Linked DNA regions of Arabidopsis thaliana. The protein of the gene in region 1 interacts with the protein of each later gene in a pairwise test. Each region holds a gene or a part of one and is shown in the gene's direction. Other genes may lie near its edges.

Region 1 (4,763 bases):
TGGATCTACATAGTCCATATTTTCCTATGAATTCCCCACACGTCACATTGTCAATTACATATTTGCTTCTCTAATAGACACCGACATACCAAATCAACAAATCTTATCATCATCTCCACTTTCACTCAGAGAAAGAAAGAGAGCGACCATATTTTTATCTGAATAGAAGAATAAAAACGAACGTATTGATCTTTTTATTTTTTATGACTTTCTCTTTTCTATGCATACTCCGACCAAAGCCAGCTGTTTGATTCTGTAAATCAAATAATGAATTTGTACTAAGGGGTTTAGACAAATTCACTTCTTTCTTATCTCACAAGTAATCAAAGGAAAATAATTAGGATGTTTGAATAAAAAGTTAGGGTTTGCTCTTTAATAGTGGTCTCTTGAATTAGGTTAAAGATGGATCTAATAGATGGCAAAACCCTTCTATTTATACAATGAATTCAATATATCAAAATATGATAAACTTCTAATTATCTAAGAATTAAATCTTCATTACTTCTATTCTGCACGAGATCCTCTTCTCTGAAATGGAAGTCTTCCCTTTACAAGGTTTAGGAAGTCGGCTGGGCGACCTCAATTGTCAAATTAGGTCTTCTGGCGATCTCATAACTTAGGCCGATTAACAGGCTAACCGGGGTACCCCGGTTAAATCGAGTTCTCGATTTTATACACATTTTCCTCCGATTTAAACCGGTATTGTCGGAGGTGCCAATTCCTGCACCAACACCAGCCATGCATTTCAAATGAGATAATCCTTTATGAATATTTTCGAATGTCATGCAAGATCTAGAATGAGCATTAGGTCTCAACTATGGCTTGTACAGGGCCGAATGAGTAAGCCCAAAAGAGGGTGATGTGTAAATTGAAGTCCAAGTCTTGTACAATGCAGCAATACAAGAGAGAGAGTTCTTCTTGTGGTTGTGTGTCAAGTGTGTGTGATTTTTTCTGTGATCTTGTAACACATTCGTTTTTACTTTCTTAGTGAGATAGAAAGAGTTTTTTGATATGTTTCTCCTTTGATTAATAGGGAATGTAAAGAAGTACAAACGGCAAATATATATCACTAAGAATAGAAAAGGGAAACCCTTAAAACTACAGTTACTTGGCATAATAGATTCATTCATTAGCCATGATCAGTCACACCCCACGCGACTCACAATGGGATAATCTGAGTTACAAGAACAGAGTTCCGCACCACATGTCTTCCACCACAAACCAAGTAACAGATCCAAAAAAATTTTCAGCAAAAAAATGCTTTTAAAAATCCTTGTAAATTTTTTAAAAACTCTTTTAAAAAACATTGTAAATTTTTTTAAAAGTTTTGGTAGTTGTTATAAACCCTTGTAAATCATTTTAAAACCTATTAAAATCTTTCTAGAGTCTTTAAAAACATATGTAAATACTTTAAAACCTCTTTTTAAACCTTTGTAAATCATTTTAAAACCTTTTACAATAGGTTTACAAGATTTACAAGAGTTTTTAAGAGTTTTAAAAGGATTTACAAAGATTTTCAATTATTTCTTTTTCTTTTTATTATAAGGGAATCTTAAAAGAGACCACCATTGCTCATGCTCTTAGTTTTAGATTTTATGGTGCTATATACTTGAATAGTTTATGAAAATTGGTTACCTTTTGTAATTCACCGATTATTTTTAAAATTTATTTGTCTGTTTTTTGTTTGCTCCGTAACTTATACGGCAAATTCGAAAATAGTTTAAATATTCAACACTGATAGTACTAAAAAAATAATATTTTGGTATATAAACGAGACGAGTCCAATTTAGTTTTAGTATATTTATATATCTAAATATAATTTGAAGATATTTGTATTTCTTTAAGCAAAAGAAAACAGACTTGTTCATTTTCCAACTTCGGTTTAGAAAAAAAAAAGGAGACGTCGTCGTCTTCTAGCTTCTGATTAAGTCTGATAAATTATGCCCCTAAATCTGTAATTCTCCAAGGATTCGGATTCGATCGATGAAAGCTTCTCAAATTTTGGCGGCTGCAGCGGCGAGGGTTGGACCGGCGTTAAGGAAGCAAGTATTAACCTTAACGGACGAAGCTGCTTCTAGGGTTCATCATCTCTTGCAACAGCGTCAAAAACCTTTTCTCCGATTAGGCGTTAAGGCTCGTGGCTGCAACGGCTTGTCGTACACTCTCAATTACGCCGGTAAAACTTCTGGGAACGGTTTCAATTTCACCGCCTTTATTGTTGTTTCTCTGGTTTTTTTGGGTGGAATCAAGTTTCAATTTTTATTTTAGGTTTTTGGGTTGAGTTTTGAATTTTGATCTTGTGCTGCGTTTTGTTCCTATGCCTCTATTTGATAGCTATAGGAGGAGGAGATATATAGTGTGTTCAAATTGAGATTTTGAGTTAGACTTTGGTAAAATTGAGATTGGGGAATGTTTATGATGTGTGTTTAATAGTGATGAATTTGGTTTTTGGGTCATTGATGATTGTTATGTATCTAGTTACAGAAGTTTATGAGTCATATACAGGGACAATATAGCTGAATGCATACGTTCTCTTGAGTATCTAGATCTTCGCCACAGTTTCGTCGATGAGAAAACCGTATGCGTTGCTATGTCCCAAGTGCTATCTAGTTTACAGTGAAACTTTCAATGGATGTTACCAAGTTTCAATTGTGAATTTAGGGCATTGATTTTTTGTGAGTTTTAATCTTGTGCTGTGTTTTGTTAGTTTTCCTCTATTTGAGAGCCATAGCATAATGAGATATTGATACAAGAGGTAAATTTGAGATTTGGGAATGCTTATGATGTGTGTTCAATCATGATGAATTTGATTTTCTTGGCTCATCAATGATTGCCATGTATTAAGTACTACTATCTAGTTATAGAGTCAATGATTATGTGGATGTTTCTTGTCTTATGAGACAAATTCACGGTTTAAATGCATAGTTTCCCTTAAATTGCGAGCTCTTCGTCTCATAGACGAAAAAGTCATATGCATTGCCATGTTCCAAGTGCTATCTACTTTAGAGTAAACAAATTGATGAATGTTTGTTGGCCTCTAAGTGTGTAGATATTTGGCTCAGGTTTGGTAGACACATATCATTTTTTGTTCTCAAACTTGATTGTTAGATTTGGTAGATCTGTAACATTTTTTTGTTCTCAAACTCGATAGTTAGGTTTGGTAGATACGTTCGTGTTTTCAAACTTTTTGGTAGTCAGGTTTACATTCAATTTTGTTTATATCTGTATAACTGAATGTGAAAAAGTGTACACTAGTATTAATGTTTCTCTATCTGCCCATTAGCTAATGCGTAGTTTCTCATTACAATCTCTAAAAATTGTCGTTATGCTATGTTACATATTGTTAATTGTGTGTCTTGAGCCATTGTTTAACATACATTTCTCTGCGTATATTTGTTTCAGATGAGAAAGGTAAATTTGACGAGTTGGTAGAAGAGAAAGGTGTGAGGATCCTTGTTGAACCAAAGGCCTTAATGCATGTGATTGGAACAAAGATGGATTTTGTAGATGATAAACTCAGGTTTGGACCTCTGTCACATTTCAAACGCAAAGTCACTTGTCGATTTCTAAAACCATATTAACCTTTTCTTTTCATTGCAGATCAGAGTTTGTGTTTATCAATCCTAACTCACAAGGACAATGCGGGTGTGGTGAATCGTTTATGACAACATCTACCTCTAGTGCTAAGCAGAGTGCTAGTTAACACACAGTGATGCGTTTACATTTGTGATTACACTCATATATTATACTGTTACTGGAATTGGCGTTAATGAGAAACAAATACTTTTTAATAAGAATTGAGTTTTATGTTTGTGCGCTACTTTCAGGCATTAGATTGGTCACTTTATTGCATATACACATTAGAAGCTCATGTTGTTGCTTAGAGATATTTCTGAAGCTATGTATTTAGTGGAACGGATAATCTTGAGATTAATTAATGTATTCCTTATCCCCAAAGTTATAAAATGTTGGATTACATAAACTATTTTTTATGGTTACTACTTTAGACCTTAAGGGATAGAATTTGTTTCTCTTGTATGTGTCTAAGTCTATTGTTGGCAAACTTGTTAGAGGATTTCCAATGGTGCTTTAAATCCTATATTTTGGGTAAAATCATCTCCAATGATACTCTACGCTTGCTCCACATGAGTAGAGCAACACTATTCATTTTCTCTGTTTTTGGGGCACATTTCTTTTATTTACAAAATATTTCTTCAAATGGCCTCTCTATAGGAATTGGTTAACACAAATCCATGAGATTGCTGATGCATTTGAATCTTGTACATTCCGTCATATTGCCACAAACGCAAATCTGATCGCTCGATCCATTTCTCGGAGTGTGATTGAAGACAGAAGGTTTCAGTTTTACATAGCACTTGGAGCGAGAGCCTTCATGGCTTCACAATCAAGTGTTTGAGAAGAGTAAAGTTTAAATTTCATTTTGTATATCTCGTTGTTTCACTGTTATTTTGTTTCTGTTTCTGTTTTAATTTGGCTTTTGGATTTAACTTCGTACTTTATTACTTTTTCTCTTTAATAATTATCAGATGACAAAAAAAATTCAATATATTAATATTTTATACCTAAACAAAATTATATAATTACATTTTTTGACGACAAAAAAAAGGAATATATAATTACATTTTTTACTTACATAAATTTCAATATATTATCATTTTATATCTAAACAACATTATATTAATTAGTGTTTTTACTTACATAAATTTATATTCAAAATCATAGCTACTAAACTAAGTAAAATT
Region 2 (7,816 bases), on another chromosome or scaffold:
TATTACTCTTCTGTTTTACAACTAGCAGTAATTCGACCAAAAGACTGAACAAATGTTTCAATTCCAATAAAGGACTCATCTACGACTAATACCATGCAACATACATATTTCCTTAATCACATCCATCATAATAGTGTCTTGCTCATGTTTCTCTTCATGTTATCCTTCCAAAGGTTCAGAATCCACCTCTTGATGAGTGTTACTTACCGGTGAAATATGACCTGAAACTTTTAGTGTAAAAAACCATAACATGTTTTGTAGCTTTGGTTTCAGATGTATGAGTAAGTCCTCCTCCTCAGCCATTCCTTGTGGCTTTTCTTTTACGAATTCTTGATTCACTGTCTTCATTTATTCGGAAGAGCCTCTTGACTTTAGTGCCGACTGCTTCTTCTAGCTCCAACTGAGTGTACTCATCCATAAGTTTTTCTGGTGTTAGATTCAGACAATGACCAACACTCGCACAACCGACTTTAGTTATCTCCATTCTTTCTTCTGCACTGTTGTTCTAAGTGTTGTGTTCAAAAAAGTTTCCATGTAAAGTTGCTGCTTGTACTTCCTTCTCTAAGGAACCTTTCACATCATCATCTTTGTTTGAGTGAATCTCCTTCCAACATTCAACTGAGTTTTCCAAGATTGCTGTGATTAAAATCAGAAAGAAACACGGATTAGAACAAAATTAGTTTAGCCATAAAACTGAAAAAGTAACTCAAATCAAATGAATACAAGTATATACCTTCTATAGAGCTACACTCTCAGATCTAGGAGTGCAAATAAGAGTTTCTCTCTTAGTTTTGGTAGTTTTCTCAGCAATAGATATTGAAACGATATTCTTAACAAGGTAACGGCCAGTAGACACGACTAGCTCAGCTTCAGTGCTGCTCACTGGTACTTGCACTGAAGCAGGTGATAAGCGCTTGACAAAAAGTACAGAGTGTGATGATACTTCCTCTTTGTCCTCCTTAACTGCAGATATTAAAACTGTGTCTCGCTCAATTTTCTCTTCACGTTGTCCTTCCATAAGTTCAGAATTCAACTCTTTAGTGCTTATTATTTGAGAAACTATCAACTGGTTTTTCCAGTGTAGAATCCAGAACATTCTCATAATCATAACAGATCCTGCACCTTTGGTTTCTGAGGAAATAAGGTGAATCATCAATCATTCCTTATGGCTTATCCTTAATGCACTCTTGATTCATTTTCTTCAACTACTATTGGAGCCTCAAATGAATTATGTCTCGAAGAGTTCCTTGTCAATCTAACATTTAGCTTCTTGAATCTTGACATTTTCAACAGAGGCTCCATTTCGTTCACAGTCAATACTGGAACAACTTTTCTGTGAATTACTCATTGCTTCCAGTATTCAAAATGTATATCTCAGAGAAGGACAAATCACGTCGCAACGTAATAATTTTTTGCAAATAATCTAAATTAATCTAAGAGTCATTTTTGAGGATAAAATCGAGTTACTGACATCTTGTGTGTCTGTCCTTCATACCAAATTATCCGGTCAAAAAGCCACCACACCGGAAAATATTATTTTCTTATCATCGCCATGTTTTGATTTTTCCACGTTTACACCTTTTAATCTAAAAATCAATATTTCTGGAAGAAAAAAAAAAACAAATTAAAATTGTCACACAAATCACAAACTGAAATCTCAAAATCGAAACTAAAGCTTCTCAGATCTCTAACTATAGCTCAAGGCGGAGGAGACTGAGATCGATCATCTGAATCGCCGAAACATGTCGAGCGATAGCAATGATCTTGACGAAGATGAGCTTCTTCAAATGGCGTTGAAAGAGCAGGCTAAGAGAGATCTCACCTATCAGAAACCTCCTTCATCTTCTGCTCGTAAGCCTGTTGCCAATTTAGTGCAGCAGCCTCGACAGCAGAAGCCTGTGGCTGCGGCTGCCGCTCCGCCGAAGAAGTCTGCTGCGGCGGTTAGGAAGCCTTCCATGGATGAGGATGAGGAGTCGGAGGTGGAATTGCTTAGCATTTCGAGCGGGGATGATGATTTGGAGAGGGAAAGGGAAATAGGTGGTTCTAGTGGTGGTGCGGGGAGAGGAAGAGGTAGCGATGTACGAGAGAAGGGAAGAGCGAGGAAGGAAGATGATGGTGCTTGGGATGGAGGAGAGCCTGATTGTTGGAAACGGGTTAATGAAGCTGAGGTATGTATTTGTGGCGAGATTCATCAGTGAATGCTTATGGCTTTGCTTGTTCGATCAAGTTCAAGAGTTTGAATTCGATATATTGATCTATTTGTTGAATTGTACGACACTGAACAATACCATTCGTGGGATACGGTGAATGCTATCCATAGTTTCTGGTGTTGAGTTGATATAGAGAGCTTGATAATTAGCATGCCATTAGTGATTTTAGAACCATAGCATCATATGGATGTATAAGTGGAAAGATGACCATTTTCACTGAAATTCCGGTGGCATTTTGGCAGCTTGCTCGTAGGGTTCGTGATATGAGGGAATCGAGAACAGCACCCGTGGTTCAGAAAGTAGAAGGTAAAGCACCTGCACCTGGGAAGAAAGTGGCTCTGACTAGTTTGCAGTCACTTCCTCGTGGAATGGAATGTATTGATCCACTAAAATTAGGGTAATTGCTCTCGTTTCGTTTTGCTTACCATGGAAGCCAGTCAGATGCTTTGTACTCTGTCTTTGATATGGTAGAACATATCTAAACCTGAATTTGTCTACTTCATAGGATCATAGACAATAAGACATTGAGATTAATCACTGAGTCGTCAGGCAGCCCATCAAAAGCTGAGAAAGTGGATAATACTCTTCGCGGTATGTCTTTCTTTACCATATCTACAACTCGAGTGAACAGTAGCACTTACAATTTTTTGGAGGGCTAATTCGATGTACAATTTCCAGTTGTCTAATTGTTATGTATCTTTTTCTGAGTATTTGCAGAAAAATTGGTTTACTTCTCTGATCATTTCGATCCGAAGCTGTTTCTTTCCCGTATTCACCAAGACACGACTGCAGCAGATTTGGAGGCTGGTGCCCTTGGCTTGAAAAGTGACTTAAAGGGTCGGAATCTGCAAAGGAAACAATTGGTGAAGGACAATTTTGACTGCTTCGTCTCATGTAAAACAACAATTGATGGTATGTATTATTACTTCCAACTGAATAATTTATGTTTTTTTCTTCTTTCATTTTCATGTTGACCACTGATTTTCTTAATAGATATTGAGTCAAAACTGAAGCGGATTGAAGAAGACCCCGAAGGTTCAGGAACTACTCATTTGTTTAATTGTATGAAAAGTGTGACATCGAGGGCCAATCTTGCATTTGAGCCACTTTTTGAGAGACAGGTTGGTGTGATTCTGATTTACTTCTTTTGCTTGTCACTCTCTTTCATTTTGCTGAAGCCTTTTTCAAAATCACATTTAGGCTCAAGCTGAGAAAATCAGGTCTGTCCAAGGAATGCTTCAGAGATTCCGGACACTGTTCAATTTACCCAGTATCATTCGTAGCAGTATTAGCAAGGGTGAATATGATTTGGCTGTTCGAGAATACAAGAAGGCGAAATCTATTGCTCTACCTTCTCATGTATGCCTGAATTTTCAATCACACTCTCTTGAGACAGATCCTATCCACATTCCTATAAGCACTGAGCCTTCTTTTTATTACGATTTAATTTAATTACATAACAAGGCTCTTGACAATATAGAAAAACAAGCTGCTTTCAGGTTAATATACTCAAGCGTGTACTCGAGGAGGTTGAGAAAGTTATGCTGGAATTTAAAGGCACACTATACAAGTCTATGGAAGATCCGAAAATAGACTTTACAAGTGTATGTCAGTTATAATTCATTTTATTTTAATGTCAACTAGTAATTAAACTGAACAATCCTTCATTCAAATATTCACCAAATGCATTAACCATACTACTGATATCATGTCAATATTGCAGCCATCATGAATGTTAACTTTTATTTAGGATATCCCGTTTTACATTTTCCCAGTTGTTGTACCTACTAAATAAAATGACTAAATTTTTTTCCAGTCTATTTTTTTGTCTTGATATCTGAGGTCTGTTCTTATTTTAGCTGGAAAACACTGTGAGGCTTTTGCTGGAGCTGGAACCCGAATCTGATCCTGTGTGGCATTATCTAAATGTTCAGGTCGGTATATTCGAAGATGTCACTCTTTTACTACTTCTTACTATGTTCTGTGTGGAATCTGGATTCCTAATAGATTTGCTTTGAGTATCAGAGTGACTTTTAGCTTATAAAATCTTTCATTTGTTTCAACTTAGCACATTTATATGTCTCCTACACTTTTTGTTGCAATCCTCGTGTATTTTCATAATTGGCTCTTTAATTACAGAATCATAGAATCCACGGCTTGCTTGAGAAATGTACATATGATCATGAAGCAAGGGTGGAAATTTTGCGTAACGACACTCATGAGAAAGCCATCTCAGATGCAAAGTGGCAACAAATTCAACAAAATGGCGTTTCATATGTGAGTCTAGCATTGAGAATGATATATCATTAAAAGACTATTCAATATTCAGTTCTTTAGATGATAACGTGCCTTGTTTTTTCATCCTCTAGTCAGATACCGCCTCTTCTAATGAAAATAATGCAGTTCAAGTTGACCTACAATCAGTGGAATTCCCCAGCGAAGAGATTGATATTTTGAAGGGAAGATACATCAAAAGATTGACTGCTGTGCTTGTGCATCATATCCCTGTGTTTTGGAAAACAGCTATATCTATTTTCAGTGGAAAATTTGCCAAGGTATCCGCTATTCTTTCTGCTTAGATCCCTATACTGACCCAAGAGTAGATTAATTCTGTAGTTATTATTTCTTTCTTGAATTGGAAATAGTTCTTCATTTGATTTGAATTTAACTTTGATTTGCTTAGTCCTCCCAAGTTACTGATACTTCAGCCAATAAAGCTGAGGAGAAGGTCACAGAGGCAAGATATTCAACTCATTCTTTGGAAGAAGTTGCTGGGATGATACGCAAGACTATTTCTGTCTATGAAGCAAAGGTATTATCTTTGTTTTCTAATTAAGTGACCTCTTCATTGGAACTTTTCTTCACATTAGAAGGACAATCCTGTGGTATCTGTGCTATAAAGTGGCTCTAAATATTTTCTTCTCCTGATTACTGCTGTTGTAGGTGAACAGCACATTTTGTGATTTTGATGAATCATGCATTCTCCGCCCATTTATGAGTGATGCCATTAACGAAGTATCAAAAGCATGCCAAGCTTTTGAAGCCAAAGAGTCAACGCCCCACAGTGCTGGTATTTGAACTTCTTCTGAAGCTTGAGCTTGCTGTTTAATTTAAGTAGACTAAGATGCTGTATAACCTTTTTGGTTATGGCAGTCGTTGCACTGAGAAAAATCCAGGCGGAAATCACTAAGATTTATATCCAAAGGCTTTGCTCTTGGATGAGGGCCTCCACGGAAGGAATATCAAAAGAGGAGACGTGGATCCCGGTTTCTATTCTTGAAAGGAATAGATCTCCATATGCCATCTCTTACTTGCCTCTTGCATTCCGTTCAGTTATTGTCTCTGGCATGGAACAAGTCAATCTGTAAGTTTCAACCGTATTTTGGTAACATATAGAAAATATTTACATTGTGAGGTTTACTACACTGTGGAAGTGAAAAACCCCAGTTTTTTCTATTTGTTGTATTTGGAGTTCCAGACGTCTATGTTTCCAGTACATACATCAAGGTCTAGTCTTTTCTGTATACATTAGAAAAAACAAAATGCCAATAGTCAGTAATTGTGATTCTAGCTTGTCATACCGTGATTACCAATTCTATGCTGAGACATGTAAAATCAAATGACTGTACCATGTTTGTATGATAGGAAAGGGGTCTTATATGCTTCTCATTGCTATTCAGGAAACTGCATATACAAATGTGTACTTTTTTCATACCACAGTGTTTACTTTGTTAACCTGTTGATTTCCGTGTATACCTTTTTCAGGATGATTCTGTCTGTCAAAAGTGAAGCTGCCAAATCAGAAGATATGTTTGCCCAAATTGAAGAAATCATAATATCCGTTAGACTGGCATTTTTGAACTGCTTTCTGGATTTTGCTGGTACGAATTTTAACCAAGCATCCTTGATAATATCCTCATGCAAACACCGGAATGCAGGCAAATGCACACTTTAAAGTGGTTACGTTGATATGCTAATTTGCTTTCACCATATGCCAGCGCACTTGGAGCAAATTGGTGCTGATCTTTCCCAAAGCACCTCCAGACAAGATAATTGGAAAAACGGATATTCTGATGAGCATCAGGAAGAACCATCAGCCAACACCTACGGAAGTGTAATTGATCCTCACAGGCGGTTGTTGATGGTCTTAAGTAATATAGGTTACTGCAAAGATGAACTTGCTTCAGAGCTTTACAACAAGTTCAAATATACATGGTTACAGTCTAGGTTAGTCCCTGCTTAATAAACGTCATTAGTGCTCTTCTGAACATCGTCTTTACTAAGTGGTAAACAAGTTGGGCATACTCGTGCATACTTAAATGAGTCAAACTGGATAATAGGTATTAACGGTTAAATTTGATGTGATTCATAATCAAATACTGTTCTCATGGGTGGATTTTGTATATGGTGTTATAGCTCACTAAACTAAGATTTTTGTGTTTTCACTTATTCAGAGACAAAAATGAAGACAGTAGTGATCTTCAAGATCTAATAATGTCTTTCTCTGGACTCGGAGAGAAGGTCCTCGAGCATTACACTTTTGCTAAGGTATTAATTTTTTTCCAGCCATATTAGCCTATGTATGCTTTTGCTAAGTGTTATAAATAGAACTTTAAATTTCCGAGAATTTCACCTGTTCAGGCAAATTTGATCAGAACAGCGGCCACAAATTATTTGCTGGACTCTGGTATTCAATGGGGATCAGCACCTCAAGTGAAAGTAAGAAATCTATGCGAAACGATATCTATTAGCTTCTTGATTTGAATGAAGAAAAGAATTACTTAAATATTTACTCCAATCTTCCAGGGCATACGAGATGCTGCTGTTGAGCTGTTGCACACTCTTGTAGCTGTCCATGCAGAGGTATACTCATGAAAAAAAATTATTGGTCGTTTTGTGGTTCTTTAGACATTTTGACATTAAAATGTGTTCCTCGACAGTGTTCATAGTGTAAAATCCTAATAACTTTGCACCGGAAAATAAAACTGCAGGTCTTTGCTGGTGCTAAACCCCTCCTGGACAAGATTCTTGGCGTGCTGATCGAAGGTCTAATCGACACTTTTCTGAGTGTTGTGGAAGAAAACAGATCAAGTGACCTAAGATCAATTGATGCAAATGGTTTCTGCCAACTGATGTTTGAGGTAACTTGTTCTTTTCATCATTAGAGATGCTCACTAACAAAAACTTCATCTCATAATGAGAAACAAAGTTGTTTTTACAGAAGCAGAGAAGCTTTGCAGATTTGTGATTTGCTAATTCTGAATTTTCATCACAACTGCTGCAGCTTGAATATTTTGAAACAGTACTGTATTCATATTTTACAAGCGCTGCAACCGAGTCTCTTAAATCTCTACAAGGAACCGTGTTGGAGATAGCTATAGAGAGCATCAGTGAAGCAGTCGAGACCCCAGGGCATAATCGTAGACCAACTCGTGGCAGCGAAGACACAGTTTCAGATGACAAGCAATCTGTTTCAGCAGATGACCTCCTCGTAACACATACATTTCCTTTCTCTTTTCAACAGATTTGATCAAATATCAAAACCTCAATTTTGATCATTTTGTTTTATTTCGTGAACAGGCTCTAACGAAACAGTGTTCAAACGA

The links.
Region 2: the proteins of AT2G16710 (region 1) and SEC5A interact in a two-hybrid assay, tested with the Arabidopsis thaliana proteins (one large-scale study listed by BioGRID).

The regions. Positions count from the first base shown.
Region 1 is NC_003071.7:7,246,311-7,251,073, forward strand, and holds AT2G16710 (Iron-sulfur cluster biosynthesis family protein), read left to right. Parts: upstream 1-1,832; 5' UTR 1,833-1,983; coding exon 1,984-2,194; intron 2,195-3,402; coding exon 3,403-3,520; intron 3,521-3,600; coding exon 3,601-3,703; 3' UTR 3,704-3,979; downstream 3,980-4,763. UniProt on the Arabidopsis thaliana protein: Involved in the assembly of mitochondrial iron-sulfur proteins. Probably involved in the binding of an intermediate of Fe/S cluster assembly.
Region 2 is NC_003070.9:28,846,271-28,854,086, forward strand, and holds the start of SEC5A (exocyst complex component sec5), read left to right. Parts: upstream 1-1,600; 5' UTR 1,601-1,742; coding exon 1,743-2,168; exon of another isoform or gene 2,169-2,452; coding exon 2,453-2,607; intron 2,608-2,715; coding exon 2,716-2,801; intron 2,802-2,927; coding exon 2,928-3,122; intron 3,123-3,203; coding exon 3,204-3,331; intron 3,332-3,410; coding exon 3,411-3,569; intron 3,570-3,709; coding exon 3,710-3,814; intron 3,815-4,069; coding exon 4,070-4,144; intron 4,145-4,349; coding exon 4,350-4,487; intron 4,488-4,579; coding exon 4,580-4,765; intron 4,766-4,893; coding exon 4,894-5,022; intron 5,023-5,153; coding exon 5,154-5,280; intron 5,281-5,363; coding exon 5,364-5,574; intron 5,575-5,975; coding exon 5,976-6,091; intron 6,092-6,208; coding exon 6,209-6,437; intron 6,438-6,664; coding exon 6,665-6,758; intron 6,759-6,851; coding exon 6,852-6,929; intron 6,930-7,016; coding exon 7,017-7,073; intron 7,074-7,201; coding exon 7,202-7,351; intron 7,352-7,494; and 3 more. Other genes in the region: AT1G76840 (uncharacterized protein), read right to left, coding at 296-492, 571-636, 751-1,018. UniProt on the Arabidopsis thaliana protein: Component of the exocyst complex involved in the docking of exocytic vesicles with fusion sites on the plasma membrane during regulated or polarized secretion. Involved in polarized cell growth and organ morphogenesis.